Linked DNA regions of Oryctolagus cuniculus. The main gene of each other region encodes a partner of the protein of the gene in region 3 in a complex. Links are inferred from orthologs where the notes say so. Each region holds a gene or a part of one and is shown on either strand. Other genes may lie near its edges. The genes, in order: LIN54, LIN52, RBL2, MYBL1, TFDP2, TFDP1 and OGT.

Region 1 (4,051 bases), on a different chromosome or scaffold from region 3:
ACCATGATGTATAGAATGTCTCTGAAAACCCTATAAAAACCCTGTTAAGGCCGGCGCCGCGGCTCACTAGGCTAATCCTCCGCCTTGCGGTGCCAGCACACTGGGTTCTAGTCCTGGTCGGGGCGCCGGATTCTGTCCCGGTTTCCCCTCTTCCAGGCCAGCTCTCTGCTGTGGCCAGGGAGTGCAGTGGAGGATGGCCCAAGTACTTGGGCCCTGCACCCCATGGGAGACCAGGAGAAGCACCTGGCTCCTGCTGTCGGATCAGCGCAGTGCGCCAGCCGCGGCGGCCATTGGAGGGTGAACCAACGGCAGAAAGGAAGACCTTTCTCTGTCTCTCTCTCTCACTGTCCACTCTGTAAAAAAAACAAAAAAACAAAAAAACAAAAAAACAAACCACAACACCCTGTTCACTGAAGGGTCGGGGCTCTCAATTCAGACCCCCTGCGTTGGTGTTGACTGAGAGCCCAGGCCCGGACCTGCAATAAAGCTCTCGTGTGCTTTACAGCGGTATCGGCTCCTTGGTGGTCTTTGGGGACAACTGAACTGGGCATAACACTCTTCCTTCTGAGAAAAAAGTTCAAGCTTCCTTAAAACTCTCAGGGTTCAAAGATAAGAAGTAGTTAAGGTAAAGAGGTACACAGAGAAACTGGAGGTGGGGGTACGGCCTGGTGCCATGTAATTAACTAAGCACTGCATCCAAACTGGTATTGCTAAGGCAGCAATTAGCAGATTAACAAACAACAGCAACAAAAACCCAAGGACCCAACATAACGATTTACAAACAGCATCCTCATGGTAAAACGCTACTCAGAATGAACAATAAAAATGTGGTACAGCTGATGAATCTGCCACAGGGCACTAGAGCTGGGTGATTATTTAAGTATACATTTAAGCCAATTCAACAACTTCACTTAGATATTTTCAAAATACTCACCCATTGAACGGGAGCCTTGCCTGGGTCTGCACACCAGATGTGCCAGTGAAGTTCGAGTTGCTTGCTATAGACACATAGGAAGACTGCTGGAGCTACAGGTAAAGGAAGGTGACTTTAGACCATATTTGCAAAAACAGACTATCCTCTCACATATAATCACCAGGAAGAAGCCCAAATTCAGCTACTAACATAGGAAAAGCATAATGGAGAATTTCATACAAACACTTGCCTGTGGAGTTCTCTTAAAGACCCTCACCAATTCTAGAGGTGAAAATAATGTGAGTATTTGACAGTACTATGTGGTACAAATACAAGAAATTATTTCCTAGAGAAGTATGTCAGAAACTCTTGATGAAAGCCCTCAAAGTATTGCAATGCTTGTATTGGCTAGACCAATGCAATGTGCCTATTTGCAAATAAAATAGATACTACACTGATTGTCCCCTTACATTTTTTTTTTTTAAAGATTTATTTATTTATTTATTTGAAAGTCAGAGTTACACAGAGAAGCAGAGGCAGAGAGAGAGAGAGATAGAGAGAGGTCATCCATCTGCTGTCACTCCCCAGATGGCTGCAACAGCAAGAGCTGCGTCGATCTGAAGCCAGGAGCCAGGAGCTTCTTTCACGTCTCTCACACAGGTGCAGAGGCCCAAAGACTTGGGCCATCCTCTACTGCTTTCCCAGGCCATAGCAGTGAGCTGGATCGGAAATGGAGCAGCCGGGACTCAAACCTGTGCCCGTATGGGGTGCCAGCATGGCAGGCGGCAGTTTAACCTGCTACACCACAGCGCTGCTCCCCCCTACATTTCAAATCATAGAGAATGCATAATATTTTCTACTGATTTCTAAACTTTAGAAATGTCAATGATAAAAATATGGAATCATTATTCATCAGTAGCCACATTTCTCCAAAGTGCATTTCAGTATACACGTTAAGTTTCTGTTTCTCTCTCTCTCTCTCTTTTTTTTTTTTTTTTTTGACAGGCAGAGTGGATAGTGAGAGAGAGAGAGAGAAAGGTCTTCCTTTTGCCGTTGGTTCACCCTCCAATGGCTGCCACAGCTAGCGCGCTGCGGCCGGCACACCGCGCTGATCCGAAGGCAGGAGCCAGGTGCTTCTCCTGGTCTCCCATGGGGTGCAGGGCCCAAGCACTTGGGCCATCCTCCACTGCACTCCCTGGTCACAGCAGAGAGCTGGCCTGGAAGAGGGGCAACTGGGACAGAATCCGGCGCCCCAACCGGGACTAGAACCTGGGGTGCCGGCGCCGCTGGGTGGAGGATTAGTCTATGGAGCCGTGGCGCTGGCTCTCTCATTTGTTTTTAAAATATTTGTTTATTTGAAAGGCAGAGTTACAGAGAGAGGGGGAAAGAGAGACAGAAAGAGACAGACAAAAAGATAGCCTCCATCCACTGGTTCACTCCCCAAATGGCTGCAACGGCTCAGGCTGGGCTGACCAAAGCCATGAGCTTCTTCCACGTCTCCTATGTTAAGTGCAGGGGCCCAAGCACTTGGGCCATCTTCTGCTGCTTTTCCAGGCAGCTTAGCAGAGAGCTGGATCAGAAGCAGAGCAACTAGTATATGAACCAGTGTCCATATGGGATGCCAGTGTCATAGGTGGCAATTTAACTCACTGCACCACAACACCAGCTCGTTTCTCTTATAATCTGGGTCGATCAATTCAATGCTTTAGATGACGGTGCTAATTTGCCTGCACGCATGAGACTTCCATGTGCTTCATGGAAGCAGCACCCCCATCCCAAGCCAGCCAGCTAGTACCTGACTTTCCTCCTAAAGACAACCAGATGAAAGGGTCAGATCAGAAAGCAAGTCACCCACAAATGCGTCTCACGGCTTATCTTCCAGGCAATGTCAGAGCCATCGTATTTGTGTCTTTACGATAGTCATTCTTAAAAATTCATTTGGGCTCTGCTGAAATAATTTCAGTGTTATTTTTTCTCCTATCTATACTATTACCCTCATCAAGCTGTTCTTAGGTCCCAACTATCTTACTCCTGTATCTGACTTGTATCATATATTTCTAAGTGCAGAAGACACACAGAAATAAACCCAGAAGTTTTGGCTGACATTTTCAGATTTTGAAAACAGCATTTTAATACCGAGTTAAGCTTTAGAACGTGATAGTGCTAGACATCTGAGACTCAGTTCTCCTTGCTGACACACAGTGGCTTCATTTTTCCCGCATACCTGAGTAACGTACTGAGCTGGAAGCACTGCATAGCCCACGTTCCCTGTCCCTGGAGCTGGTGCCAGCACAGTGCCTGGTGGCAGGTTGGTGAGGTTGGGTTGGATCTGTGGCAGTGGTGTGGCAGGCATGATTAACCGCTGCTGGGGCTGGCTAGTAGTCACTATTTGTGAACTTGGATTGATTGGCTTGGGGACGACCTAAAAATAAGGGAAACATCAATAATAATACCGTATTTTTACAGCTGCTTAGTTCAGTAGAAGTCTCTTGCACCTAACTCCTAACTTTCAATGTGAACAGTAAATTGTTTGGAAGAGACTGAGAAGAAAAGTCGCATGATACTCACTTGTTTGACAGTCTGAGCTGGAACAATTGGAACTGACATCCGCACTGGGGTAGTATTAACAACCACTGGCTTTGCTTTTTTTTAAAAAGGAAAAAAAAATGAACAATTTATTTATAGAAATAATACTCAAAACAGTTATAAATACTTAGCTTTCTTGTGTTATCTTCATGAAGGAGCTAAAGAATTCCACTTGTTTCCTACTATGAGCAATCTCTAATCAGGATAGTGGTTCAAAATCGATCCTCCCGAGGTCGCTGCAGTCTATCCACTGTAAGAGGGACTCTTTCGGGGGCCCGCACTGTGGTGCTGAAGCTTAAGCTTCCACCTGCAGTGCCAGCATCCCAAACAGGCACCAGTTCAAGTTCCAGCTGTTCCACTTCCAACCTAGCTCCCTGCTAACGCGCCTGGGAAGGCAGCACAAAATGGCCCAAGTATTTAGGCCCATGTACCCACATTGGAGACCCAGCTGGAGATCCTGGCTCCTGGCTTTGGCCTGGCCCAGCCTCAGCCATTGCAGCCATTTGGGGGAGTGAATCAGAGGATGGAAGATCTCTTTCTCTCTTACTCTAC
Region 2 (4,843 bases), on a different chromosome or scaffold from region 3:
AGGAGCATTATTTTTTTCTTTTTCCAGGTCAGTTGAGAAGCTCAGAAAATTGTACCTGTTTCTGAAATGAAGTACATGGGAGACAGATTCTCCTCTCTGATGCAAAGCACAAAATACCTTCAATGGGAGTGAGGCGGAGGCAAAGGGAAAAGCCAATTTTAGTCAAAGATTTGAAGGAGAGGCTGGTAATGGACAAAACAGGGTGGAAACTGTTTTCTTGCTACTAAAAAGAAAAAAGCTGCTAGAGCAGAACTGGAATCAAGGCAAGAAATAAGAGTGAAGCCAGCCCACCCGGCGAACCCCTCCATCTTCCACACTGTTCCATTAAACAGTGTATTTATAAATATGAACCTTTGCTGATTCTGCCAAGAATCTTAAAACTGCTTCTGTTTTTGCGGAAGAACTCAGGGAAACACGGTACATAATAATAATAACCTAAAAGCCCAGCAACACAGAGAAGTTCCCCGTTTGAACATAAGGAATAAGAAAAGCAGGTTTGGGAATCCTGCCTACTGTAAATATTGCCTCACTGTGCAATTGCTTGCCAGGCTAGGAACAGAGGGGAAAGCTACTCAGGGTTGGAGACTTGGAGACGACAGGCCTGGCTGGAGACAGGACCCAGTCTCCCAGGGGCAGATCGGAGGGTGTGCCGGCACACGGAGAGCTGACGTTAGGGGGGAAGCTTGGAGCTTCTCGCCTTTCTTAGCTTCATTCTCTGTCGCCTGTTTTAGAGATGTTTAGTCCCCTGAAGGGACTGGAACAATGCGCTAGCAGAACTTCGTGCCCTTATTTACTTGCAACATGAAAACTGTAAATTTATTGAGACAAAGTTTAACAGAGTTAAACTTTGGCAAGAACGCCTCCGGGTTGTGGGAAATGCAGAGCCAGAGTTGGGGAAAACAGCTTAGCAAGTGTCTGCCTGTGGTGAAAACCTGGTGCACACTCCCAGAGCGAGATTCAAAGTTCACTCGCTGACCCTCGCCCCTCGAGAACCCCCTCCCTCCCTTACCTCGGTTCACGGGTGGGGAAAGGGAGCCATTTGGACGCTCCTGGCGGGCGAAAGAGCTCTAAGAGAGGGGAGTTTATGCGAGAAAACGAAGTGGCTGGTGCAGAAGTGACAGGGAAAGGCAGTGGGCGGGCCGAGAGGTGACAGCAAGAGTGGCAGCAGGGACCGGGTAGGGCTGAGGACGGTGGGCGAGAGCCAACAAGCAGGAAGCCCCGGAGTAAACGGGTGAAAGTCCCGGGAGGCATCCAGACTAGGGGAGGTACGGGGTGGGGGTGGGGGAAGGAGGAAACTAGGCCGCTGGGCTGGGAGGGGAACACCAGGGTCGGCCAAGAAGGGGGCTGGGCCAAGAAGTCGGTCCCGCCCGAGGATGGCTCAGAGTGGACGGAAAGCATCCAAGTCCCAGCTTCGTGGTCCCTCGGTGCCACCCTCACTCGCCTGCAGGATCCGGGCCCGCACTGCCGCCGCCACCACCACCGCCGCCATGGTTCTCGGCCGCCTCTTCTACGCTCCCCCAGCCTCCACCGCCCGCGCTAGCCAGAAACACTACAGCTGCCAGGCCTCCCCCTCCATCCTGCCCGACCTTCTCATTCGTGGAGAGGAGCATTTCCTCTGGCCAATCACTCTCTAAAACACCTGACTCCACCCCCGCAGGCCTGCTCCTGCGGATATGTGATTGGTCAAAAGCGAAAGCGCTCTCGCCCCCTCCCACCTCAGAGAATTCTATTGGCGGAGGTAGGGAAGACGCCCCTACCTGGGTACTCTGTATTGGACACGGAGGGGAGACGCCCCCTAACCTGGAGTTCTGATTGGCTACAGCCACGACCAGGGTTCCACCCCCTACCGAGGAAAGTAAATAAGACCCTCCAAGAATTTTGCAGTCGCTCCGCCTCCGCAACAGCACGAGGGGCAGGGCTGTCGCTAGGGGCGGGGCTAGGCAAGGACTGTCCTATGGGGAGGAGAAACGAGACTGGGCTGCGAGTTGGCGATAGGGTTTCGCTTTGGGGGCGTGGCTTAGGGGTCCTCGCTTTCCCGCCGACGGTTGGCCACGTCACGTGACATGGGTTGGAAGATGGCGTCTCCCACAGACGGTAAGAGCCGGCTTAGAGACCCTTGGCCTGCAACCTCCTCCTTTGCTCCCATTGAGAACTTCCACTCTCCATCTGCCCCTCGAACGTACACTTCTTTCTCGGGAACCTCTCCTTTCCCTTTTCCTTGGTTTCACCTCGCCGGTTCTTCACATCCGCTGAGAGGCGCCGGGTTTCCCCGCTGTGTACCCTGCAGGTGGAGGAGAGCACCCACGTAGGGCAGAAGGACAGTGGTCTCATTGGCCCTCCTTTTTCCCTATTTGGCTGAAGTTGAGGGACGAGGAGGAGATACTGCTGAGAGAAAGGAGGTGCCTTGTTATATATAGTTTTCTGCTCCTCCGGGTGCACCGCTGATGTATCATCTCTGCTCGCACTGAGCACTGATCGAACTATCCTCAAGTCCTAGCTGGGTTGGTGGCCGACCCCGTCCGGGGACTGAATTGCAAGAGAAGCGGGGACCTTTTCGTCCCCTCGCCGCGAGGGTCCCCAGGAAATGACAGTTGAGCTCTGCTTTAGAGTAGTTTCGCGTACATCTCAGTCTCTGCAGGGGCCGCTGTGTGTGCGGGTTCCCCTGCCTGGATGTTGTCTAGGACGCGAGGTTTTGGTGTATCAGCGCGCTGTTGTGCTCCGATCTGCCCTAGAGAGCTAGGGTCTTGCGGGCTGCCCTTCCATCACCCCATCCCCAGGTCAGGTTCATTGATGTGCAATTTCCCCTCCTCGACCACAGAGTGTTTTTGGAAGAAATCTTGGGGAGGGCGTTTTTTTTTTTTTGCAGAGGTTTCATATTCTATATTGACACCATTGAAGAAAAATGAAACAATAACGAGACATAAGATTGGCAAAAATCAAAAAGACTAATGAGACCGGTTTTGTTACAGGTTGTCAGACGACCACATGAAAGTGTAAAGCAGTACTTCCTTTTTACCGAGTGACATGGAGATTGCTATCTAGATTACAGGGTTGTCTGAGTTTGAATTTCAATACCCTAATTATGGATTCTTAAATTTCTTCCCTGGAAGACAATTTGGCCTCAGGCCGATTAGCAATCTAAAGGAGGGGGTAGGAAAAAGCACCTAAGATCTCTTCCGCTGTCTCCTGGCTACCCTGGTCAACACCAGAGCAAGGTGCTGAATGGCTCACTGCAGAGATGATGGGACCTTGCGGGAGTTGTGTGGGGGTGGTCTACAAAATGGCTGCATCTTGGAACAGCTTGGTCAGAGCATGCCATTAGGGGAGGATTGGAAGACTGGATTATTGCGTCAGTTGATGGCCCCAGTGCCAGGAGAGGAGAGAGGTATACCAGCCTTCCCATGTGTGCCTCATTTTTACTCCAAATCTGACACCGATCATCCTGTCAAAATATTATGGGCTTACTCAACATATATGAAAGGCGTTAATACCAGGTGCTTCCGAAAATGTAAAAACGAATCAAACATGTAAACTTTTTTTCTCCCAGTTCCAGGTTTCTTTTAGATGTTGTTCCCCAAAGAGGCTTTTCCAGAACACAGTGTTGGAGTTGCCCCTCTCCCCTGTTTAAATATCTCAGTATCTTCACTGATGGCATTGTTATTCTGTTAGTTTTTCCTCTTTCACAGTAGATTATAAATTCCAAGTCTGTCTTGTTCACAGCTGAATCCTGGGATTCAGCAGCACAGTGCCTGATTTAGCATCTTAAGGCTCAATTAACATTTATTGAATCAAAGAATATATAGAGAGAGGAAATAATGTTTTGCTTGACCTTAAGTTTAACTGAGTTGTAACTTTTTGAGCATAGGTACATACTGTGTAAGAAATTGTGAATAATAGGGCCGGCGCCACGGCTCACTAGGCTAATCCTCCGCCTTGCAGCGCCGGCACACCGGGTTCTAGTCCCAGTAGGGGCCCCGGATTCTGTCCCGGTTGCCCCTCTTCCAGGCTAGCTCTCTGCTGTGGCCCGGGAGTGCAGTGGAGGATGGCCCAAGTGCTTGGGCCTTGCACCCCATGGGAGACCAGGATAAGTACCTGGCTCCTGCCTTTGGATCAGTGCGGTGCGCAGGCCGTGGCGGCCATTGGAGGGTGATCCAACGGCAAAGGAAGACCTTACTCTGTCTCTCTCTCTCTCACTGTCCACTCTGCCTGTTAAAAAAATAAATTAATTAATTAATTAAAAAAAAAAGAAATTGTGAATATTTAGAATCAGACAAGATTCTGCTAAATCCTCTGGCCAGAAAAAGAAGCGGGGAGGAGTTATTTTAAAAGTCAGCCAAAGGAGTCTGGTGCCGTGGCTCAATAGGCTAATCCTCTGCCTGCGGCGCCAGCACACCGGGTTCTAGTCCCGGTCGGGGTGCCAGATTCTGTCCCAGTTGCCCCTCTTCCAGGCCAGCTCTCTGCTGTGGCCCGGGAGTGCAGTGGAGGATGGCTCAAGTACTTGGGCCCTGCACCCCACGGGAGACCAGGAGAAGCACCTGGCTCCTGCCTTCAGATCAGTGCAGTGCGCCGGCCGCAGCGGCCATTGGAGGGTGAACCAACGGCAAAGAAAAATCTTTGTCTCTCTCACTGTCCACTCTGCCTGTCAGAAAAAAAAGAGTCAGCCAAAGGAATGGGGAGTTTTTATTTCATGGGTGCAGAGCTTTAACTTGAGAAGGGGAAAGGGCTCTGGTGGACAGTGATAATGGTTGCACTGTACTAATGTACTTAGTGACACTGAGCTCTAAACAATTTAGAAGTAGAGGTACTTGCTCTTAAAATGTTCAGTCTATTATTGTTTTTATGT
Region 3 (4,051 bases):
GATCTAGATCTTGTATCTATTGGTTCACTCCCCAAATGGACACACCATTCGGAGCTAGACCAATCCAAAGCCAGGAGCCAGAGCTTCTTCTGGGTCTCCCACGTGGGTTCAGAGGCCCAAATACTTGGGCCATCTTCCAGTGAGCAGCCAGAACTTGACTGGCAGTTATATGGAATGCTGGCACTGCAGGTGGAGGCTTAACCTTCTACACCACAGAGCAAGCCCTACCCACTTAATTTAATTTTATTTTTTTTATTTTTGACAGAGTGGACAGTGAGAGAGAGAGAGACAGAGAGAAAGGTCTTCCTTTTGCCGTTGGTTCACCATCCAATGGCCGCCGCCACCGGCGCGCTGCAGCCAGCGCACCGCACTGATCCGAAGGCAGGAGCCAGGTACTTCTCCTGGTCTCCCATGGGGTGCAGGGCCCAAGCACTTGGGCCATCCTCCACTGCACTCCCTGGCTACAGCAGAGAGCTGCCCTGGAAGAAGGGCAACCGGGACAGAATCCGGCGCCCCGACTGGGACTAGAACCCAGTGTGCCAGCGCCGCAAGGCGGAGGATTAGCCTGTTGAGCCACAGCGCCAGCCTCCACTTGATTTTTAATACCATTCATTTGTCTCTGAAAGACAAGTGTGCTAGATTTTTTTTTTTTAAGATTTTTTTTATTTGAGAGGCAGAGATAGATAGGGAGGGATAGAGCGAGAGGTCTTCTATCCACTGGTTCACTCCCCAGATGGCTGCATCAGCTGGAGCTGGGCTGATCCAAAGCCAGGAGCTTCTTCTGGGTCTTCCATGTGGGGTGCAGAGGCCCAAGCAGTTGGGTCATTTTCCACAGCTTTCCCAGGCCATTAGCAGGGAGTTGGATTGGAAATGGAGCATCTGGGACTCAAACCAGTGTCCATATGGGATGCTGGCACTGCAGGCAGAGGCGTAACCTACTATACCACAGTGCCGGCCCCATGTGTGCTAGATATTTACATTTGACTTTGCATGATTTGACTTTCTGGTTGGGTACTGTCACTGCACTGCAGCCCCATAGGCAGTACTTGAAAGTAAAGCCAGACAGGCTGATGTAAATCCTAGATACACTATTTAATTGGCTGCATTCTTAACTTCCCGTGAGCAGGACAACTAGACTACATGGGGCTGTTGTGAGAATCAACTGATATATGTTAAGATCCATAATTTCCTGCCCCCTTCTGATTGTCTTTCTAAAGGTATATAGAAGTGTTTTGATAAAAGGGAAAAGAAAAAGAAGAAATTCTGGCAGCAGTGATAGCAGAAGCCATCAGAATTCCCCAACAGAACTGAACAGAGACAGAAGTAAGTGGGATCCTTATGAACTATTACCAAACAACATTAGGAGCTTTTCTTTTCTTTTTTCTTTCTTTCTTTTTTTTTTTTTTTTGGACAGGCAGAGTTAGAGAGAAAGAGAGAGAGGTCTTCTTTTTCCATTGGTTCACCCCCAAAATGGCCACCACGGCCAGCGCGCTGCACCGATCCGAAGCCAGGAGCCAGGTCCCCCCCACTCCCGGTCTCCCATGCGGGTACAGGGCCCAAGGACTTGGGCCATCCTCCACTGCCTTCCCGGGCCACAGCAGAGAGCTGGACTGAAAGAGGAGCAAGCAGGACCAGGACTAGAACCCTGGGTGCCAGCGCCGCAGGCGGAGGATTAGCCTAGTGAGCCGTGGCACTGGCCCATTAGGAACTTTTCTTTTTTTCTTTTTTGACAGGCAGAGTGGACAGTGAGAGAGACAGAGAGAAAGGTCTTCCTTTGCCATTGAATCACCCCTCAATGGCTGCCGCAGCCGCCGCAGCCGGCGCGCTGCGGCCGGCGCACCGCGCTGATCCGATGGCAGGAGCCAGGTGCTTCTCCTGGTCTCCCATGGGGTGCAGGGCCCAAGCACTTGGGCCATCCTCCACTGCACTCCCTGGCCACAGCAGAGAGCTGGCCTGGAAGAGGGCAACCGGGACAGAATCCGGCACCCCGACCGGGACTAGAACCCGGTGTGCCGGCGCCGCAAGGTGGAGGATTAGCCTAGTGAGCTGCGGAGCCGGCCCATGGAGCTTTTCTTATTTTTTAGGCCTAGAATACTAAGTCTCACTAAGTGTCTACTGAAGAAACATGGAAAGTGTTTTATTGGCCAAGGTTTTTTTTGGAGCAGTAAACCCAAATCCAAATTTAGTGGCAAAGTTGTCCTTCAGCCTGTATCTTTGAAGCATACTGTGCAGAATATTGCTTTTGAAGGTTTTCTGCAAGCCTCTGCTGGCCTAGTTCCAGGAGGGTTCACCGTGGTGGTTGGAGCCAGGCTAAGGGAATGGCATCCTTAGTTGCTGGTTTGCACCACTTGGTGCAGGGCTCAGATCCTAGACTGCTGGTGTAACTCATTAGTGGAAGCCGCTGAGTAAGCCCTTGCTGGAGTAATGGCTTGGGGGTAGATCAGTGATCACACTAGCTGAGCTCTGCTCCTTGGTATGAAGAATAGTGTGCCCACTTAAGGCCATTAAGACGTAGTGCAGGTAACTGCCTTTTTCCCGCTGCATTTTCTTAAGTCTTTACTCAGTGTCTTTGTGCTTCCCATGCTTTGTTGCTCTCACTGCAGCCAGTAGAGACTCGAGTCCTGTCATGAGGTCAAGCAGCACACTGCCTGTCCCACAGCCTAGCAGCGCTCCCCCTACACCTACCCGCCTCACCGGCGCCAACAGCGACATGGAAGAGGAGGAGAGGGGCGACCTCATCCAGTTCTACAACAACGTCTACATAAAGCAGATTAAAACATTTGCCATGAAATACTCACAGGCAAACGTGGTGAGTGTGACAAGGATCTTCGCATGCTTTATCACTTGTGAGGACTAAGGAATCCATTTGACCTGTTCTACATATAAACTAGTTGTACAAATACTTAATCTGCCTAACCTATATAATTTCTATTGCTGTTAACCATCAAACAAAAGTAAGGTTGTATCTGAATTCCCTCCCAAGTGCAGTAGAACAAGACAGCCTCCATGAGTTCAGACTGTTAATTTGTAACCACCATGGTGGTGACCTGGAAATTAACTTTCTGTGTTCTTCTTTTCTCCTCATATATACATCACTGTTTATCATTCATAAAACTAGTTTTTTTTTTATACTTCAACTCCATAAAATAACTATTTTCAATAGCAACATCTAGTTTAGAAATCTTTGTCTTACACTTAACGGATTTTTTTTTTAACAGATGGATGCTCCTCCACTGTCTCCCTACCCGTTTGTAAGAACAGGCTCTCCTCGCCGAATACAGTTGTCTCAAAATCATCCTGTATACATTTCCCCACATAAAAATGAAACGATGCTTTCTCCTCGAGAAAAGATTTTCTACTACTTCAGCAACAGCCCATCAAAGGTGAGCATAACTTCGGTCTTGTCCTTTATGAACCTAAGACCAGGCACTCACTGCAGTGATGCAAGTGCCAGGCAGCAGTGACCAGTTCAGTCCCAACAGAGCAAACACTGTGCCTCGCTGGCTTCTTTTTGAAAACTTTAGGGTTGGAAGTACAAGTGTATATTAACAAGTTAATGGAAAATGGAATCCCAAGAAGTGTATTTTAGTACCAAACATTTTTGAGTCCATGTATATAAGTCTTTAAAAAGTTCATGGAAAAAAGCATGCATGGATTTTACAGTTGTTTGCACCAAAATGTTTTTCTGAGAGGCAAAGAATGATACTGTCTAGCTTACACAGTCCCAAATGCCCACTAGGAACCAGGAACTCAACCTACATCCACCAGATGGGTAACAGATGCAGGGCATCCAGTGAACCATGACTTTGCAATAAAAAGATACACTTATAGAAAGTGTATATAAAGATGACTTTGTGGTAAAAAGAAACTGCTGATACACTCAGCAACATAGTTGAATCTCGGATGCATTCCTGCTTGAGGAAAGACACTAGATTCAATAGGCTACTTATTGAAATTCCAGAAATGGAAAAGGCACAACTCAGGAAACATCCATGGTTGCTTAGGGGTAGGGTGCCTGTAATAGGACATGAGGGAATTTTCTGGAGAAAAG
Region 4 (4,051 bases), on a different chromosome or scaffold from region 3:
CCATACCCTACTCATCTTCCAGGCTCAAAACATAACTCCCATAATATTCCAGTATCCTCATGCCTATTTGATCACCAAACTCCTTTCTTCCCCTATAGAGGTTTCTAAACTGTCAAAACACTTTTAGCAAACACTGCTCCATCTCTTACTGTGACCTTGGCCAAGATGCTCAACTTCAGAATTTTAGCCTGGAGCATGGCAACTGTTCAATAAGAAACCATTCTAACATAAACATCTGCTGCCCAAGGATATTACAAGAGGAGAAAATAGGTATTTCTGCATATGGCTGGAAAACCAGGTTTCTTTCAAGGAACATTAAGCTGGAAAAATCAATAGGTAAACTAAAGGCTAAATTACTCTAAATATATAAGGTCTTCTTTAATATCTGTTAAAAAGACAGTCAGGAAACGGTCCTCAATCTCAGCTCATTAGATAACTTTGGGCAAATCATTTTTACCTTTTTGGGTCTGTTTTCTGATGAGTCATTAAAATGTGAGATTACATGATAAAGAAAACTTTCATCTGAGCTCTAAAACTTACAGTGCACTCACGCTTTGGGAGATACCTCATGTATACACTCCCATGTATACATTTAAACATATTATCCATTGTTAGGTGTTAGGAAAACAACCAACTGCCAGAAAGGATACTAAAGATCTAATTTAATCCAGCTCATCAACATTTGGAAATATATATATAAAAACAAAAGTACTACCTGTGAAGGAGAAAATGGTAGTGTTTTCACTGGTGTGTGTTTTAGTGCTGTATTACCACCATCATTGAATGAGCCATCACCAAGTTCACTGCCTGGGGACTGACCCACTCGCATTCTTCTCTTCTTTCTGAGGATGGTGGGTGGAGTACTAAACTTGGCCACATTTGGGGATGTCAAAGGAACAGCCTCATTGTCTCCACCATTACAACTGTTTTTTTTCCCTTCAAGTACAAGACTGACATTAAATTGACATTCCATGGCTCCTTCATTGTGTTGGATTCGCATTAGTTTAACTGGAGTAGACTTGACAGGAGAAGCAGCAGCATCAGAAAGATCAAAACTGGTAACATCACTCCATGCTACAGGATCCTGCAATACAATTAAATTCTGAACTGAAGTTAATACTTTAACCTATTTAAGTCAAATCTTGAAAGGCAGAGCAACAGCAAGAGAGACAGAGAGACAGACAGACATTTCCCATCCATTGGTTCACCTTCCAAATTATCTGAACAGTTACTCATTTTTACAAACAGACTTTCCTGAGACATCCTTTTTAAAGCAAGATCATTTGGATTATTTGAGTGAAACAGATTATTTTTCTTTGTTAAAAGATTTATTATTTATCTTTTTATTTGAAAGAGAGAGAGAGAGTGATCTCCCATTTGCTAGTTCACTCCCCAAATGACTGCAACAGTCAGGACTGAAGCCAGGAGCCAGGAAAGGCCCAAGCACTTGGGCCATCCTCCATTGCCTTTCCAAGCAGGAAGCTGGACAGAAAGTAGAAGAGTCGGGACTCAAGCTAGCGCTCCGATATGGGATGCCAGTATTTCAGGCAGCAGCTTAACCAGCTGTGTCACACCACTGGTCCAGATTATGGTTTTCCTTTCAATTTGGGATATCCCAGAATATTTCATTTAATTCAGCAGATGAAGCTTACTATCAAAGTATTTTATATAGGAGAACAAATTATTTTAAGTCATTATCAAAGAGCACAATCCATCAGGGTGGACATTTGACTCAGTGGTTAAGATGCCCACACCCTATATTGGAGTGCCTAGGTTTGAGTCCTGGCTGCTTCAGATTCCAACTTCCTGCTAATGTACTCCCAGGGAGGCAACATGTTGTGGCTCAAAAGCTTGGGTCCCTACCACCCATGTGGGAGACTCTGATGAAGTTCTAGGCTCCTAGCTGTTGCAGGCATTTGGACAGTAAACCAACAAATGGAAGATCTTTCTTTCTCTTGCTCTGCCTTTCAAATAAACAAGAATAAATAAATTTTTCAAGTTTCATTTATCATAAAAATCACATTTGACTTCCTATCAGGAAAACTATCAAATTCTGTAGAGTCATTTGGTAATATGTATAGAACCATTTTAAAAATGGTGATACAGGAGCTGATGCTGTGGCAAATGGTTAATCTGTCACTTGTTAATGCCAGCATGCTGCATCAGAGTACCAGTTTGAGTCCTAGTTGCTCTGCTTCCAATCCATCTCCCTGATAATGTGCCTGGGAAGGCAGCAGAAGATGGCCCAGCTACTTGGACTCCTGCTACCCACAGAGGAGATCAAGATGGAGTTCCCGGCCAGCACCACAGCTCAATAGGCTAATCCTCCATCTGCGGAGCCAGCACACCGGGTTCTACTCCTGGTCAGGGCGCCGGATTCTGTCCCGGTTGCCCCTCTTCCAGGCCAGCTCTCTGCTGTGGCCCAGGAGTGCAGTGGAGGATGGCCCAAGTACTTGGGCCCTGCACCCCATGGGAGACCAGGAGAAGCACCTGGCTCCTGGCTTCGGATCAGCGCGGTGCACCGGCCACAGTGCACCGGCCGCAGAGGTCATTGGAGGGTGAACCAACGGCAAAAAGGAAGACCTTTCTCTCTGTCTCTCTCTCTGACTGTCCACTCTGCCTGTCAAAAAAAAAAAAAAAAGATGGAGTTCCCAGGCTCCCAGCTTCAGCCTGCCTCAGTCCCAGGTATTGCAGCCATTTAGGGAGTAAACCAGTGGTTAGAAGATCTCTTTTTCTTTCCTTTTCTCTCTGTCACTCTGCCTTTCAAATAAATAAAATATTTTTTTAAAAAAATGGTGATATACTTTGATCCAGAAATTCATGATTTTGTACAAAGCTTTATATAGATACATTCTGTTATTTGTAATAACATAAAACTAGATAACTAAATGTCCAAGAAGAGTATACTGGGTAAATTTTCTTGCATTCTTACGATTGAATGCTATAAAGCCATTAAAATTCAAGTTTAAAAAACAGGAACACGGAGACGTACTCATGATATAAATGAAAACCAAAAAAAGCCTGCAATCATAATACATAGGTATATATCTGCGGATTAAAATCTACATACTTTTATCTATCTATATACATATATACACACATAAGTGTGCGTGTTTATGTGTGTGTGTGTGTGTGTGTGTGTTTTGTGCATAGAACACAGAGTGAAAGGAATATATTAAATTATTAACTCTGGGAATAAAGGATTTTTTTTCCTATTTCTTATTTATTTGAAAGCAAAGATGGCTCCCATCCATTGATCCACTCTCCAAATACCCACAGTGGCCCAGCTCTGGTCAGGGGCTAAAGCCAGGAGTCAGGAATGCAACTCAGGTCTCCTATGTAGGTAGCAAGAACCCAATCAACTGGGCTGTCACCACTGCCTCCAAAGATCTGTGTTAGTAGGAAGATAGAATCAGGCATCAAACTGAGGTTCTCCAATGTGGGACATGGCATCTTAACTGGAATCTTAACATCTAGACCAACTGCCCACCTCTATGGAGAATTTTAAGTTTCATCTTCATAATTTTCTCTAGTTTCCAACTTTCTCTAATGTACTTATACAACTTATATGCTCATAATTAAAATTAAGTTTTTTAATCTGTAGAGATTCTATATAAGGCACACACTTAAGAAAAATTTAAACTTTTTCCTTTTTTTTTTTAATGAAGAACCACTGCAAAATAGAACAAAATTAAGCCTGGCATACAAACTAATGCTTAACATGAAACTGATCAATATCCTTTAAGCTGAGTTTCTGAACAGAAAAATACATAACTAAAATGAGCTTTCAATAATCTCACAATTTCAAACTTACAGATTCAATAAGTTCTAGAGTCTCTGCAAATTCTGGGATGGTCTGTAGAGAAGATAGCACAGCATTTGCCTCTACGGCCAGGAACTTCGTGGGTGAATTCTGCTGAGTAGACACAGTCTGATTTTCATCCATACTATAAAACTCACTAGTGTGATCTTCGAGGCTGTTTAGAGTATTAGACATGCTATCATCCATGAGGAAACTACCAGACCAGCTAGAAAAGCTTCCAGGCTGCTA
Region 5 (4,487 bases), on a different chromosome or scaffold from region 3:
TTGCTCATTGTATCTCTAGTGGTAAAAGGTTTTTTTTTTGTTTGTTTGTTTTTAATTGAGTTGAATACATCTACTAGATTTTTTGTGAAAACTAAAGAATTCCTTCTGGATTTGTGGCTGAAAATGTAATCACTCCTCTGGGGATCTGCATGTCACAGTCAATCAGCAACAGGCAGCATCCGGCATTCTTGGACTCCGAGGACTTCACCTCCCTACTGTGATGTGGCAGGCCAGTGTCTCGACACCGCACCCAGATCCAAAGGTGATCTCCTGTCTCCCTCAAGTCCTTTATGTGTTTACTTAAACGCGTCCTTAGGATCTCCTTCCCTGTCCACCATGCTTAAGGCTGAAGCCATCCCTCCCACACACACTCTGCTTACTGTTTTTCCACAGCTCAGATCAGCAGGTAGCATCGTTTTTATTTTGCTTATTTCTTTAGCTGTCGTCTTTCCCACCGCACTAGAATGCGGGCTCCACGAACGCAGTTTTTGTCTCTTTTTGTTCACAGAGGTATCTCCAGCACCTGGAACAGTGTTCCGCACGTGGGCGATTTATAAAATTTGAGCAGAGCGAAATGAGAAAGGCCTATCGTTGCAACACTGTGCCCTCACACCTCACTCCATCAGCAGGGCAGCTCCCATCTCTCTCTCCTCTCTCAACCTCCACAGCTCGGTCCACGCGGAATTTTCCAAATCAGCAGAAAACGAACAGACACAATCTTGTAACGCTAACCTACCGACCCTACAGGAACAGGTGTCTGGGGAAGCGGGCAGCCCCGGGGCAAGGCGGCCTGGCTTTGTGTGGATCCTAACTCGCCTGGCTAGGGAAGAACCTCCAACTCCCCAGGAGTCTCTCACTCATCGAATACTTTCAAGGCGCTCCACGGCTGGCCCCAAGCACTGCCTCACCGCTTACTCCCGCGACTCCTCAAATGCGAAGGATCCAGATGCACCTGCCCCACTTCTCCCGCCTCTCAAACAGCTGCGATCTTCCTGCTTCGTGGGCGGACCTCGTGGGGGAGTTAGGGGCGAGAGGGAAGGGCGTGTTTCTAAACTTTAGGCTTCAGGCCTACAGCTTGTCCAGCAATCGGAGCTGGAACCAAGAGCCCGGGCCACCGCCACCTACCCTTTGGGCAGCCCGGGAGAAACTTCAGGGGTCGGAGCGCGGCGCTTAAAGGCTCCGCCTCTTCTTCTCGTGCCCCCTCCCATCATTGGGCAGCCTGGGGGCGGGGTTTGTTTACTCTTTGCACGCACCGCCGGGACCGGCCAATCCGTGGGGAGCGGCGCCCTACGTCACGCCTCTCACCGGCCAATGGCCGTGCATCGTGCTGCTCCGCCGCCAAAGCTCGCGCGGGGGAAGCGGGGAGGCCGCCGAGCCGAGTGCGGGCTGACGAAGTCGGCAGCGCTTTCGGCTGCTGTGCGGCCGCTGTCCGGCACGCGGGGCGCGCCCTGACCGAGCCCTGAGGGCGCGCGCGGGCGCGAGGTCGGCGTGCCGGGGCCTCGAACTCCTGGGGGCCTCGACCGGGGCAAGGCCGCGGCTGCCTGGGTGGGAGTCCGCCGGGACCCGGGCGCCAGAGGATCGGCGGCGCCCGAAGACGCGCCCCCGGCTCGGCCCTGCAGCCTCGCGCGGCCGCCGGGTCCTCTGCAGCCGAGCGGCGGTAAGGTCCGGGGCGAGGGCGCGGGCCCGCGTGCCGAGGGCCTCTGGACCCGGCCCGGCGCGCTGCGTACGCCGGGGGACCCCCGGGAATCCCACGGGCTCCTCAGGCCTGGCGGAGTAACCCTTGAGTGTCCGGGCGAGACTGGGCAGGCAGGGAGGTCACCCTTCCTCGCGCAGCCTGCAAACTGGGGGAGGTGAGGTCCCTGAGTCACGCCTCGGCGAGGCGGGCAGAGGGTGTCTTCCCCCTTCCCGTCCTGGCCGTAGGGAGCGATGGCTTCGGGTTCTGGCTGCTGACTTTGCCCCCTGCTTCGCGACCCCCCGTCTGCCTCCGCCAGGGTTTCGTTGTTGTTTTTAAGAGTTGGGAGGCTTTGTGTGTACCTGTGCCCCGTAAGGGAACTTTGGCATTGCTCTGTGGGCCCAGACGGCTGGAGAAATCCCGGAGAGCCGAGGTGCCCGTCCGCCGGGCAGCGGCAGGGTTTGGGTGGGACCGCGCCGAGACGCCGCGCGCTCGCGTTGTGAGGTCTCCGTCTGCTCGAGCTGGGGGACCTCGGCGTGGGCGCCGCCGCCGAGGGAAGTCTGGGGCCGCCTGGGTCAGGGACGCCCGGGGCGCGAGCTCGCCGCCCGGCAGCGCAGGGCACGAGGTGGGCACCCTCGCTTCTGACTGCCGCGAGCGCGGGTTCGCGAGAGGATCCTTTTCTCTGCCCCTTGCCCACTCACCGCCGAAGCTCCGCCGAAGCCCGGAACGCTCTCCTCTTCCGTTTCCCTCGCAGACGGCTCAGACGCCCTCTGCCACCTGCTTGCTTGCTTCAGTGGGTGCGTGGCTCCTTCTCCCCCATCTCCCCTCTCCCCCCATCTTCCCTCTTCCGCCTTCTCCCCTCTCCCCCAGATCTTAGTTTCATGACTTTTCCTTTGATTTCTATTACCTAATTTTTTCTGGGTCACTTGTTTTTCTTTTCTCTTAATGGTTTCATCTTAGTCATTTTGCCTAATAAATATAATTGGAATTATTCACCTGTTCTCTAAAAGGACATAATCATGACCCTACCTGTCTCTGTTCAGAATCAGAGTAGTTGAATCTGTGTTGCATCTTGCTGTTCCATGTCGTTGGCTGGCCTATGGTTTAGCGAAAGCTTTATCGCTATCACATTACTATAATTAATCTTTAATGACAGTGTCCACTCTCAAATAGCACCAGGAGAAAAATCAAATACCCAGACCCCAGATTCTATCGCACTTGGGCACTGGCACTGGCTGTGTTTGTTGTGTGGTAGAACATCTTGTGCCTGGAACTGGTCTGGTCTAATGGCAGCCATCATGGCTGGGAGCACTGCCCTGGCATACAGTTGCAGCAGTGTGGTACTTGTACAGAAAGGCCCAAGACTTACTCAACTCTTATTTTCGAGTTCTCTTTGTTTCTAGTTGTTTGTTTAAGAAGGAAAGCTGAATTTCGCTAGTGTGTGGCATGACCATTTTGTGATCATGCAGTTGTACCCCCCCACCACCACAGACCCCTTCTTTGGAATGTGTAGCACAGTGAAGTATTCGCACTGTGGCCAAAATGCTTATCTGGGCTCTGTGCTTTTAGTGTGACTTGAAATGGAGTTTATACCCCCTGTAAGCCATCATCACTTAAATGCTTATTGTAACATGTATCATAGTAAATCTCAGAGGAATCTAGAAAACATAAGTTGAGAGTTCTTTGAGATCAGAATTTTAAGTTGTAATAGATTTTAAAGATTATTAAATTGTTAATATATCAATTCATACTTGAGTCTTTTCCATTTTAATCTGGGATCCGTAACACTCTAGTATATTTAGAAGTAGATTTGTGAACCCTTAGAAACTTTTTTTTTTTAAAGATTTATTTATTTATTTGAAAGACAGAGAGAGAGGTCTTCCATTCACTGGTTCACTCCCCAATTGGCCGCAACAGCCGGAGCTGCATTGATCCAAAGCCAGGAACCGGGAGTTTCTTCTGGGTCTCCTGTGTAGGTGCAGGGGCCCAAGGATTTGGGTCATCTTCTACTGCTTTCCCAGGCCGTAGTGGAGAGCTGGATCAGAAGTGGAGCAGCCAGGACTCGAACTGGCGTCCATATGGGATGCTGGCACTGCAGGCAGCAGTTTTACCCGCTACGCCACAGCACTGCCCCCCCCCCAGAAATTTTCTGCAAAATTACGTACATTTGCATGTTTTTATGAAGACATGTTCATAATTTCTGAGGCAAAGGTATTTGGACAACTTGTTTTTTTTTTTAAAGATGTATTTATTTGTTTAAAAGGCAGAGTGCAGAGAGAGAGGGGAGAGATCTTCCATCTGTTGGTTCACTCCCCAGATGGCTGCAATGGCCAGGGTGGAGCCAACTCAAAGGGGGGAGCCAGGAGGCTCATCCAGGTCTCTCATATGGGTGGCAGGGCACCAAGCACTTGAGCCATCTTCAGCTGCTTTGCTAGGTACATTAGCGGGGAGCTGGATCAGAAGTGGAGCAGCCAGGACTCAAACTGGTGCCTCATATGGGATGCCAGCGTCACAGGTGCTGGCTCCAACAACTCTTAAGTTTTATAAAATAGTGGGGCCAGCACCGTGGCTCACTTGGTTAATCCTCCGCCTGCGGTGCTGGCATCCCATATGGGCGCAGGGTTCTACTCCTGGTTGCTCCTCTTCCAGTCCAGCTCTCTGCTGTGGCCCGGGAAGGCAGTGGAGGATGGCCCAAGTGCTTGGGCCCTGCACCCGCATGGGAGACCAGGAGGAAGCACCTGGCTCCTGGCTTCGGATCGGCGCAGCGCCGGCTGTAGCGGCCATTTGAGGAGTGAACCAACTGAAGGAGGACCTG
Region 6 (3,559 bases), on a different chromosome or scaffold from region 3:
CGGCAGCTGCTCCCCCGGAACGCTGACTTCTGGGTTTAGAAAGGAGAGTGCTGTCAAGGGGACAGAGCCCCTGCGGCCCCGGCTCGGACGGCCGCCGAGCCGCGTGCGTCGGCATCAGCGTGCGTGCGTCTCCTTCTCCGGTCTCTCTCACTTCACATTTCGCTGCTGTTACTGAAGGGGCTTTGTGATGACCGTGGACGTGCCCTGACCTTTGGTCTGCAATGCCACAGAGCAGGAGCTGTCCCTGTGTCCACTTGGTGCTGTGAGGAGCTTCTGCAGTGAATGTCCACAGAGCAAACCATGGTTTCACTGACCTGCGTGGCTCATGCTTTGCAGTATCGCTTTGTGTTAACCGTTAACGTTTTTAAAACTGAGAGGTGGGGAGGAGGAGGCGCAGGCTGCTTCCACTCCCAGGTTGACTCCCCAGGCACCTACAGTGCGTGGGGCTGGGCTGGGCTGGGCTGAAGCTGGGCACCGTGCGCTCAGTCTGCGTCTTCCATGGCCACCTTCTTTCTGCCCCCCAGGTGCACACTGGCAGGAAGCTGCAATCAGGAGTGGGAGCTGGGACTCCGCCCGTCACTGTCTGGGGCGTGAAGGGCCTGGCCAGCCGGGGCTTAACCACCAGACCTAATGCTGCCCTGCCTGTGTGGAGTCTTTCGCTTGTGTTTTACAGTTATTTATTTATTTATTTGAAAGGGTGACAGAGGAGTCTCCCATCCACTGGTTCACTCCCCAAATGCCAGGCCAGAGCCAGGAGCCAGGAATCTCCATCCAGGTCTCCAGTGTGGGTGGCAGGAGCCCAAGCACTTGAGGTGTCAGCTGCTGCCCCCCAGGTGTATCAGAGGGAGCAGGATCAGAAGCAGAGGCGGGACTCAGTCAGCCCCAGGCACTCCGCTATGCGGACTGGACGTGGCTGGGGAGGACTCAGTCAGCCCCAGGCACTCTGCTATGCGGTTTGGACGTGGTGCGGGAGGGCTCAGTCAGCCCCAGGCACTCTGCTATGCGGACTGGATGTGGTGCGGGAGGGCTCAGTCAGCCCCAGGCACCCCACTATGCAGTCTGCACGTGGCCGGGGAGGACTCAGTCAGCCCCAGGCACTCCACTATATCCGCTATGTGGACTGGACATGGCGCGGGAGGACTCAGCCCCAGGCACTCCGCTATGCGGACAGGGAGGACTCAGTCAGCCCCAGGCACTCTGCTATGCGGACTGGACGTGGCCAGGGAGGACTCAGTCAGCCCCAGGCACCCCGCTATGCGGTCTGGACGTGGCCAGGGAGGACTCAGTCAGCCCCAGGCACCCCGCTATGTGGTCTGCACGTGGCCGGGGAGGACTCAGTCAGCCCCAGGCACTCCGCTATGCGGTCTGGACGTGGTGGGGGAGCGGGGCAGCTTAACTGCTTTGTCCTGACTTCGACCCTTGGAGAAACGTCTTCAGTCGGTCACATTGGCAGCTCTGGGCTGTGGCAGGTTTTGGGGGTGCTACCCCTGTTGCCAGGTGGTGGTCTTGCCCCTCACCCGGGCATCCTGACCTGCCGTGGCTGCCGTCTTTGAGCCTGTGCATGTGTGGCTTCTCTCTCACCTGGGGCCTGACCTGAGCCATGCACAGCCGCTTCAGGAGGACGGGGCTGGTGGGGGCCCGGGGGCTGCAGGGCTGGGTTCCATGTTGTGGGACTCGATCTCCCCTTGAGGCTGAGGCCAGGCTGGGTGGAGGCCGTGCCTGACGCTCGTCTGCCTCCTGTCCCTGCAGCGACTTGACCAACGGTGCCGACGGCATGCTGGCCACGAGCTCCAACGGGTCTCAGTACAGCGGCTCCAGGGTGGAGACGCCCGTGTCCTACGTTGGGGAGGACGACGAGGACGACGACGACTTCAACGACAATGACGAGGAGGACTGACGTCCCGGCCCCTTCCCCGCAGATCCGGCTTCAGGAGCCGGCGAGGGAAGAGACTTTTTTTAAGCGTGGGGTTTTCTGTTTCTTTCTGGCCTTCCCCCAAGAAGATGCTGGTGAGCTGCGAGAGGGCCCCGCAGGCCCCAGGCCGCCGCCAGGGCACTGCTCGCTTTGCAGGCGTCTGCTTTCCGTTTCTAGCTCTTTTTAAAGTTCAGAGTCCGTTTTTGCCCCTTCACAGCTCTCGCTGAGTTTGCTGAAGATATCTTACTTCATCCACATCAATGAAAATAAGACGCTCTCCTGCCGTGGCCGCGGGCGCCGGCGGCGTGTGGCGCCCTGCGTCGGGCTGGCGGGGGGCGGATGCAGGATGCGTTTTCCTCTTGTGAATCATGCGATGTCCAAAGACGGAAGCGAACACTCAGCGCCATGCGTCCTGCCGTGACTGTGTGCTCCGTAAATTATACTGACTGGTGTGACTCCATCAAGCTGACGTCTCTCTCTCTCTCTCTCTCTATTGCAGCAACAAATTGCAAAGTCCTCTTTCTTTTTGTTTGTCGTTTTGGTCTGCTGGGCAACGTTTACTGCCCGCTGGGGCGGCTGCGGAAACTCTGGAAGGTTTGTTGCTTATGGTAAAATTTGCCTGATTTCTTACAGGCTGCGTTTGGAAACTTTTTATTAAATAGTTGTTTACATACCTATGAGTCTGTCATTTAAAGACACGTACCGAAACAAATGTGGGATTTGTTTCCTGAGCATCTTCCGTAATCTATTATAAAGTTGAAATTAAACATAGAGAATGTTTTAACAGTTTTTTAACTCAAAATTTGTCAATCATTTTTAATAGTTCTTTTTTTATAAAGAGAAAAGGAAATTAAGGACAGGCAGTAGTGTCTTTTAAGATTTATTCACAGAAACATTAACTGCTCAGTTGCTGTCAGCTGCCTGTTCTGAAACGATAGTCTTTTTATTGAAACACAAATAGACTTTTCTGTAATATTTTATGGAATATAAAGAGACTTTAATTGTTTGACTTGTTTAACTCGGCACTGTTAGTTTTTATTAATAAAACGCGCATGGGCATTTTCAACGAGCTCTGTGTGCTCCATCTCACTTTCCCGGCCAGGGCCCCTCCCCCCACCCTGCGGCTCACAGCACGTGCGCTCCCTGGCCTCTTCCTCAGCCCTAAAGGTCGAGACGAATTCCACAGGTTTCCCCTTCAGAAAGGAATGACAGCATGGAAGGTTCTGGAAAGGAGTCGGAGCAGGAAGCACCAGGTGGTGGGGCGCGGCTCCGCCTCCTCGCTGCTCTGGGGCTCTGGAGAGGCCGCGACTTCAGGGCCGTCACTTCTGGTTCAGCTTTGGCTCCTCGCTCAGCGGCAGCCCCCGCCCAGCCCTGGCAGGCAGCTGCCTGCTGTGCTGGCACAGCCCGCACATGGGTACATGGGTGCACACGGGTGCACACAGTGTGGAGCCAGGGCAGGCCTGTGCTCTGGTCAGTAGCGAGGAGACAAGCCCTGCCACTGTGTCTGAAGCCCCCGCCCCTGCACTTACCCCCTCTGGAGACCAAGACACTCAGCTGTGCATGCAGGGAAATCCAGAGGGTGGCCTGCACCTCCGTGCGGCCTCAGCACAGTCACAGCCAGCTGAGATCCTGGAGCTGACCAGATGG
Region 7 (4,829 bases), on a different chromosome or scaffold from region 3:
CCCAACTAGGGTTCAAGTTTTTTGAAGGCAAGGATCTTGTCTTGTTTATTTTTGTGTCCCCCTACAGTGCCTTGCACACAGAGACTAAGTGTGCGTGTTACTTGATTGACTGAAGAAAATCTGCCTGCCTAATGAAGAAGTCCTTCAAACTCAACCATACTATCCAGGTGCTATTCCTGGAAGGTATGGAGCCAGGGTTCTTGAGACTCCAGTAAGGGGTTTTTCTGTACTGAGCCTCTGTGAGCCCTACTGTGCAGCTTTTCATAGAAACAAATTTGAGGACAAGGAACCCTGTCCATAATAGCCTACTTGACCGGCACCATGACCTGGCATTTAACGAGAAGAGTTTTACCTAATTAACTAGCACCCACTAATCAGTAAGGCCTAAACAGCTGCCAGTGGAATCTGAAGAAGTGTGTTCTAAAAGCGGAAAAGCTGAGTTTATTCACTACAAATGGGGCACTTGTAGTGGGGAGGGAGGTTACCAGTTACATGAAAGGACACAAAGAGGTCAGTTCGCAATTTCCAGAAGAGTTTGTGTAGTGAACATTGTCTTTTTTTTAACTGCATGACATCTCTTAATTAATTATAGAAGAAATTAACATATATTATGAATTGTCTCTGTGCTCTTGGCTGTGATTAAGTTTGTTGACTGCTCAGAAGAAATTGAAGCAGAATCTGAGGACTTGTTAGTTTTTAAATGTAGACAAGGGGTTGGGTCGCAGAAACTTTTTGAAGACATTCATTAACATGTTTTCTTAGATCAAGGACTTGTTGAAATACAAAGGCTCTCAGAGCTCCAACTTATAACCTCTAGTGGCTTGTGATAATTTCTTGTTTATGTAGCAAGCTACCCGAAATCCTTTCTGGAAGAAGAGATGAATTATAAATTAATACCAATGTGACAAACTGAACGGTGGACTTGATTTGTTCAAGGAAGTGGAAGCAATTCCTGACTCTAGACGTGTGGTTTTTGCAGATGGTAAGTGAATACATTTATTGCTGTTCTGCTCAATACAATCGCCTTGTGACAATTTGCAGAGCTAATTGGTGGACATTAAGTCACAACTTGGAGGAGAGTCATGGATTTGGACGAAAATGAATCATCTTTAACATTTTTATGGCTGCTTTTGGAGTGCAAACTCATCGTGTCCCTGAGTTATTAAGCATTTGTCCGATTACCATGGGTAGAACTCTCCTGAATAGGAAAACGATTTTGAAATTTCGGGCTATGTAGCTAAAAGCAGAGGATGTCTGGGTTCATTTGGCCCTCTAAAAGTATGCCTTTCTCATCAAAGTGCTTAAACCTAGGGCTGGAGTCAGAACTAAGGCGTGTTCCAATTGGAACCCTTGTCTCCCACCGTTTTTAAAGAACAGCTTGTCTTTGAAATACAGTCATTTAAATGTATTTGCTCAGAACTGGCCCATCAGCCTTGTAAATATTTTTTTTTGACTTGGATAAAGTTGCTTAAACTTTTGTGGACACCTTTGGCATTGCTGTTAAAATGTACTTCACTAGCTAGGTAACCAAGTGATACTACTTTGGCAAATATGTAACCAGTGAGTACATGGATATTTTTCACTCTTCCGCCTTACTCTCAAAAAGCACTTGAACAGTCCTGCCCCAGCGAGGGCTCTAACAGGGAGCCCGCTTGACAGGGTTGCTCGCATGCGCTGTCGGCACAATTCTGTTTGTCGCAATGGGCCTTGCGCGGAAGCTTACAGGAGGGCAAGTGACTTTGATTGTAGTCATTGGGTCTGTAGCTCTGGTTACGCGCTGCCTCCGCCGGGTACTTGATTGTAACAGAAAGTAGTTCCGGCCCGTGTTGTTTCGGCCGAGGAGCCTTCGCCGCCATTTCAAGACCGTGAGAGGTAGACGGCCAACCAGAGTTCCTAAGGTTCCAAGTCCGTAACTGCCGCCACCACTTAAGCCTTCCAAAATTCTGGTACGGCTGCTGCCCTCTTACTACTACCTCCAGAACCATTCTTGCCCGTAGTGGCGGCAGTGAGAGTCAGTTACCCCCTTTTTGCTCTCGCTCAAGAAGCTCCAGATGGCGTCTTCCGTGGGCAACGTGGCCGACAGCACAGGTACCGGTGTCCCGTTCTACCTTGTCAGACTCCCTTTTGGGGTCTCGCGCCGTCTTCTCCTCTCATCACTCCCTCCCTCCCTTCTAACCATCCCCATTGCATCAGTAGCAGCGCTGAGCTTTTCGTGGTCTGCTGACATCTCGAATTTTGTGCTGTCGTCTGCTCAAGTATTTCCTCTTTAGTGCTTGTTTGCTTTTTTTCTTGGTTTGTTTGTTGCCCTCCTTTAAATGTCCTAGCCCTTCACTCTCTCGGGATACTTCTCCTGCACGTGCGCGCTTAGAATGCCTTGGAATGGACTGCATTGGAATCCCTGCCCTTCCACTTTCCTTTGCAACCGGTTTCCCCCCCAGATTCCAGCCCGTAGCCCTCTCCTTTTTCCTCTCCACCTCCTCCTACAGCCCTTTGCACCTAGCCAGATTTCGTTCTTCTTTGCCGGTATAGGGCGGGGGTGCTATTCCGTTGTAACCGTATTCCCTCTTTGCATCACCCAAGGACTAGCAAAAGCTCGTCACTGTTATAAGTAACCTCCAGACGAGACACATTGGGCAGCTCCCCGCTGGGCAGCGCCTTTCCGGCTTTCTTTCGGTCGAGCGGTCCCAGTTTCGATTGGAAATTTCCAGGGATTCCCTTTGCCAGGGCCCAATTCCACCCGCTGCCCCCAGCCTGTATTTTCCCACCCTGTGATCCCTCTCCGCCCGCGAGGAACCACACCCTTTGCTTCGCGAGGTTTGCCAGCCCTTCGGGCCACTTCCTACCCCCGGGGGAGAAACCACCCCAATAGTGTTGCTTTGGCGCTGACCACCCTGCCCGCCCAATTCTCGCTTTGTGTTACTTTCACGATGTATTCTTCCGCCACCGCCGCCGCCGCCTCTGGGTCTTCCATTCCCATTCTTTAGCTCGGTATCTCTTTATTCATAGGGTGTATATATATATATATGTTTTTTTTTAAGTTTCCATCCCTGCTTGAAGAGTTTGTAAAGCAACTGGAGTGTAGCTGTACAATATACAAGGCTGTTGCCCTTTGAGACAATTCAGTTGCGAGCATTTGGTGCTAAAAATAAGAGAACAACCAAATTCTAGGAGTGTCCTTCGGCTGCCTTTCCATATTGAGGCTATTTGGGGCGTGCGGGGGTGGGGAATTGGACTGCGCTTCTAAGGTTTCCCACGAGGTTATTTCTTTTGGTTTTTCCTAGTTGAGATGGATCAAGGGTTTTAGTTCCTGTTTTGGACATTGTGTAGGAAGTAATAGGTGAATCTGTAATAGTATCTTAGTGGGAGTAATTAGTCTGAGCTCTCCGCGCTCCCCCATCGTGATTTTCTGAGATTTTAGATTCTGTTCCAGCTTGCCCTTTTCTATAAGTGTTAATTTTATTTGAGGAAGTTGGGTCAAGTGTTAAAATAGATGAGCGGCTCAAAAAGTGATCAACGTAACGTGTTAAAAATAAGGAGCTAGGAAATTCTAGGGACTTGTCTAAAATGTAATTTTCTAATTTCTAGTAGAGCTATACCACCCTCCCTCCCCCAATTTGGATGCAAGACTGTCTTGTTTGTGGTCAGATGTGCCTTCTGACAGGAAATTTACTTTGCTTTCCCGGTCTCCAGAACTCTCCTCAGCCTTAATGATTGGGGGAGCCAGGCTCAAATTTGATCATGTCACTGTGACCTTGGTAGAATTAAGTAATTTGTCCATGGTTTCGAATTCCACTCCTCTATCGAAAGTGTTGTGGTGAACGCCCAGTCCTGTATCACTGTTGTTTAAAGTATTTATTATTGAGCCTTAGGCAGTTTTTTTCCCATCTCTGGGCTTTAACTATATATACCCTCTATGTATCTGAATGAAGTCACAGCAAAGTGCTTTTGTTTGTTACTCATTCTGTTGTGCCTTATCAACTTTTATATTTGAGTGTCCCCCCCCCACCTTTTTTTAAACCATTGCAGTTGTAGGTAACTGCTTGGTTTACATAGGGTTGTTTGTAATAAAATCTTATAGTCAGTGCCAGAGCTTCTTGGAAAATGTTAGTGCTAAACTAGCATGGGTGGGATTTACCTAATTTAGTCTCCTTGTGAATTTGGAATGATAGAGGAGCAGTATAATCTTGGAGCTTTATTTAAAATGTTTGATGATCCCTTTAAATATTTTGGCTCTTGACAAATGAATACATCTTGTTTATCAGCTGTTTTAAAAATAGCACCTTGACTTTTAGTTTTTTTTTTTTCCCAATCTTAGGCTTGTTTCTGGTGTTGCTATTTTAAAACATTAAATTGTGAAAGATAGAAGCATATCAATATAATTTAAAGAGTAAGAAACATCTGGCGTTCCCACCTAGGTTAAGAGATAGTTACCAGGGCCGGCGCCGTGGCTCAATAGGCTAATCCTCCACCTTGCGGCGCCGGCACACCGGGTTCTAGTCCCGGTCGGGGCGCCGGATTCTGTCCCGGTTGCCCCTCTTCCAGGCCAGCTCTCTGCTATGGCCAGGGAGTGCAGTGGAGGATGGCCCAGGTGCTTGGGCCCTGCACCCCATGGGAGACCAGGAAAAGCACCTGGATCCTGGCTCCTGCCATCGGATCAGCGCGGTGCGCCGGCTGCAGCGGCGGCCATTGGAGGGTGAACCAACGGCAAAGGAAGACCTTTCTCTCTCTGTCTCTCTCTCTCACTGTCCACTCTGCCTGTCAAAAAAAAAAAAAAAAAAAAAAAAAAAAAAAAAAAAAAAGAGATAGTTACCAATACTCCGTCTCACAGA

The links.
Region 1: RBL2 (region 3) and LIN54 share a complex: the UniProt entries of both Homo sapiens proteins name them as parts of the DREAM complex. The link is inferred for Oryctolagus cuniculus from reciprocal best matches to the Homo sapiens genes RBL2 and LIN54.
Region 2: RBL2 (region 3) and LIN52 share a complex: the UniProt entries of both Homo sapiens proteins name them as parts of the DREAM complex. The link is inferred for Oryctolagus cuniculus from reciprocal best matches to the Homo sapiens genes RBL2 and LIN52.
Region 4: RBL2 (region 3) and MYBL1 share a complex: the UniProt entries of both Homo sapiens proteins name them as parts of the DREAM complex. The link is inferred for Oryctolagus cuniculus from reciprocal best matches to the Homo sapiens genes RBL2 and MYBL1.
Region 5: RBL2 (region 3) and TFDP2 share a complex: the UniProt entries of both Homo sapiens proteins name them as parts of the DREAM complex. The link is inferred for Oryctolagus cuniculus from reciprocal best matches to the Homo sapiens genes RBL2 and TFDP2.
Region 6: RBL2 (region 3) and TFDP1 share a complex: the UniProt entries of both Homo sapiens proteins name them as parts of the DREAM complex. The link is inferred for Oryctolagus cuniculus from reciprocal best matches to the Homo sapiens genes RBL2 and TFDP1.
Region 7: the proteins of RBL2 (region 3) and OGT are in contact, whole or in part, in a crystal structure (PDB 4XI9), measured with the Homo sapiens proteins. The link is inferred for Oryctolagus cuniculus from reciprocal best matches to the Homo sapiens genes RBL2 and OGT. Residues at the interface, in NP_001310537.1 of Homo sapiens: Thr417, Pro418, Val419, Ser420, Thr421, Ala422; in NP_858058.1 of Homo sapiens: His506, His508, His509, Asn567, His568, Pro569, Tyr642, Thr643, Lys644, Gln849, Phe878, Val905, Ala906.

What each region holds. Positions count from the first base shown.
Region 1 is NC_091439.1:82,901,800-82,905,850, reverse strand, and holds part of LIN54 (protein lin-54 homolog), read right to left. Parts: intron 3,556-4,051; coding exon 3,482-3,555; intron 3,336-3,481; coding exon 3,138-3,335; intron 1,027-3,137; coding exon 935-1,026; intron 1-934. UniProt on the Homo sapiens protein: Component of the DREAM complex, a multiprotein complex that can both act as a transcription activator or repressor depending on the context. In G0 phase, the complex binds to more than 800 promoters and is required for repression of E2F target genes.
Region 2 is NC_091451.1:20,252,807-20,257,649, forward strand, and holds the start of LIN52 (protein lin-52 homolog), read left to right. Parts: upstream 1-1,855; 5' UTR 1,856-2,063; coding exon 2,064-2,094; intron 2,095-4,843. Other genes in the region: ALDH6A1 (methylmalonate-semialdehyde/malonate-semialdehyde dehydrogenase [acylating], mitochondrial), read right to left, coding at 1,442-1,489.
Region 3 is NC_091449.1:36,933,624-36,937,674, forward strand, and holds part of RBL2 (retinoblastoma-like protein 2), read left to right. Parts: intron 1-1,217; coding exon 1,218-1,323; intron 1,324-2,603; coding exon 2,604-2,809; intron 2,810-3,218; coding exon 3,219-3,383; intron 3,384-4,051. UniProt on the Homo sapiens protein: Key regulator of entry into cell division. Directly involved in heterochromatin formation by maintaining overall chromatin structure and, in particular, that of constitutive heterochromatin by stabilizing histone methylation.
Region 4 is NC_091437.1:92,240,909-92,244,959, forward strand, and holds part of MYBL1 (myb-related protein A), read right to left. Parts: intron 4,049-4,051; coding exon 3,815-4,048; intron 1,085-3,814; coding exon 716-1,084; intron 1-715. UniProt on the Homo sapiens protein: Transcription factor that specifically recognizes the sequence 5'-YAAC[GT]G-3'.
Region 5 is NC_091435.1:139,716,169-139,720,655, forward strand, and holds the start of TFDP2 (transcription factor Dp-2), read left to right. Parts: upstream 1-1,347; 5' UTR 1,348-1,657; intron 1,658-4,487. UniProt on the Homo sapiens protein: Can stimulate E2F-dependent transcription.
Region 6 is NC_091440.1:466,373-469,931, reverse strand, and holds the end of TFDP1 (transcription factor Dp-1), read left to right. Parts: intron 1-1,749; coding exon 1,750-1,897; 3' UTR 1,898-2,981; downstream 2,982-3,559. UniProt on the Homo sapiens protein: Can stimulate E2F-dependent transcription.
Region 7 is NC_091453.1:51,331,533-51,336,361, forward strand, and holds the start of OGT (UDP-N-acetylglucosamine--peptide N-acetylglucosaminyltransferase 110 kDa subunit), read left to right. Parts: upstream 1-1,747; 5' UTR 1,748-2,051; coding exon 2,052-2,088; intron 2,089-4,829. UniProt on the Homo sapiens protein: Catalyzes the transfer of a single N-acetylglucosamine from UDP-GlcNAc to a serine or threonine residue in cytoplasmic and nuclear proteins resulting in their modification with a beta-linked N-acetylglucosamine (O-GlcNAc).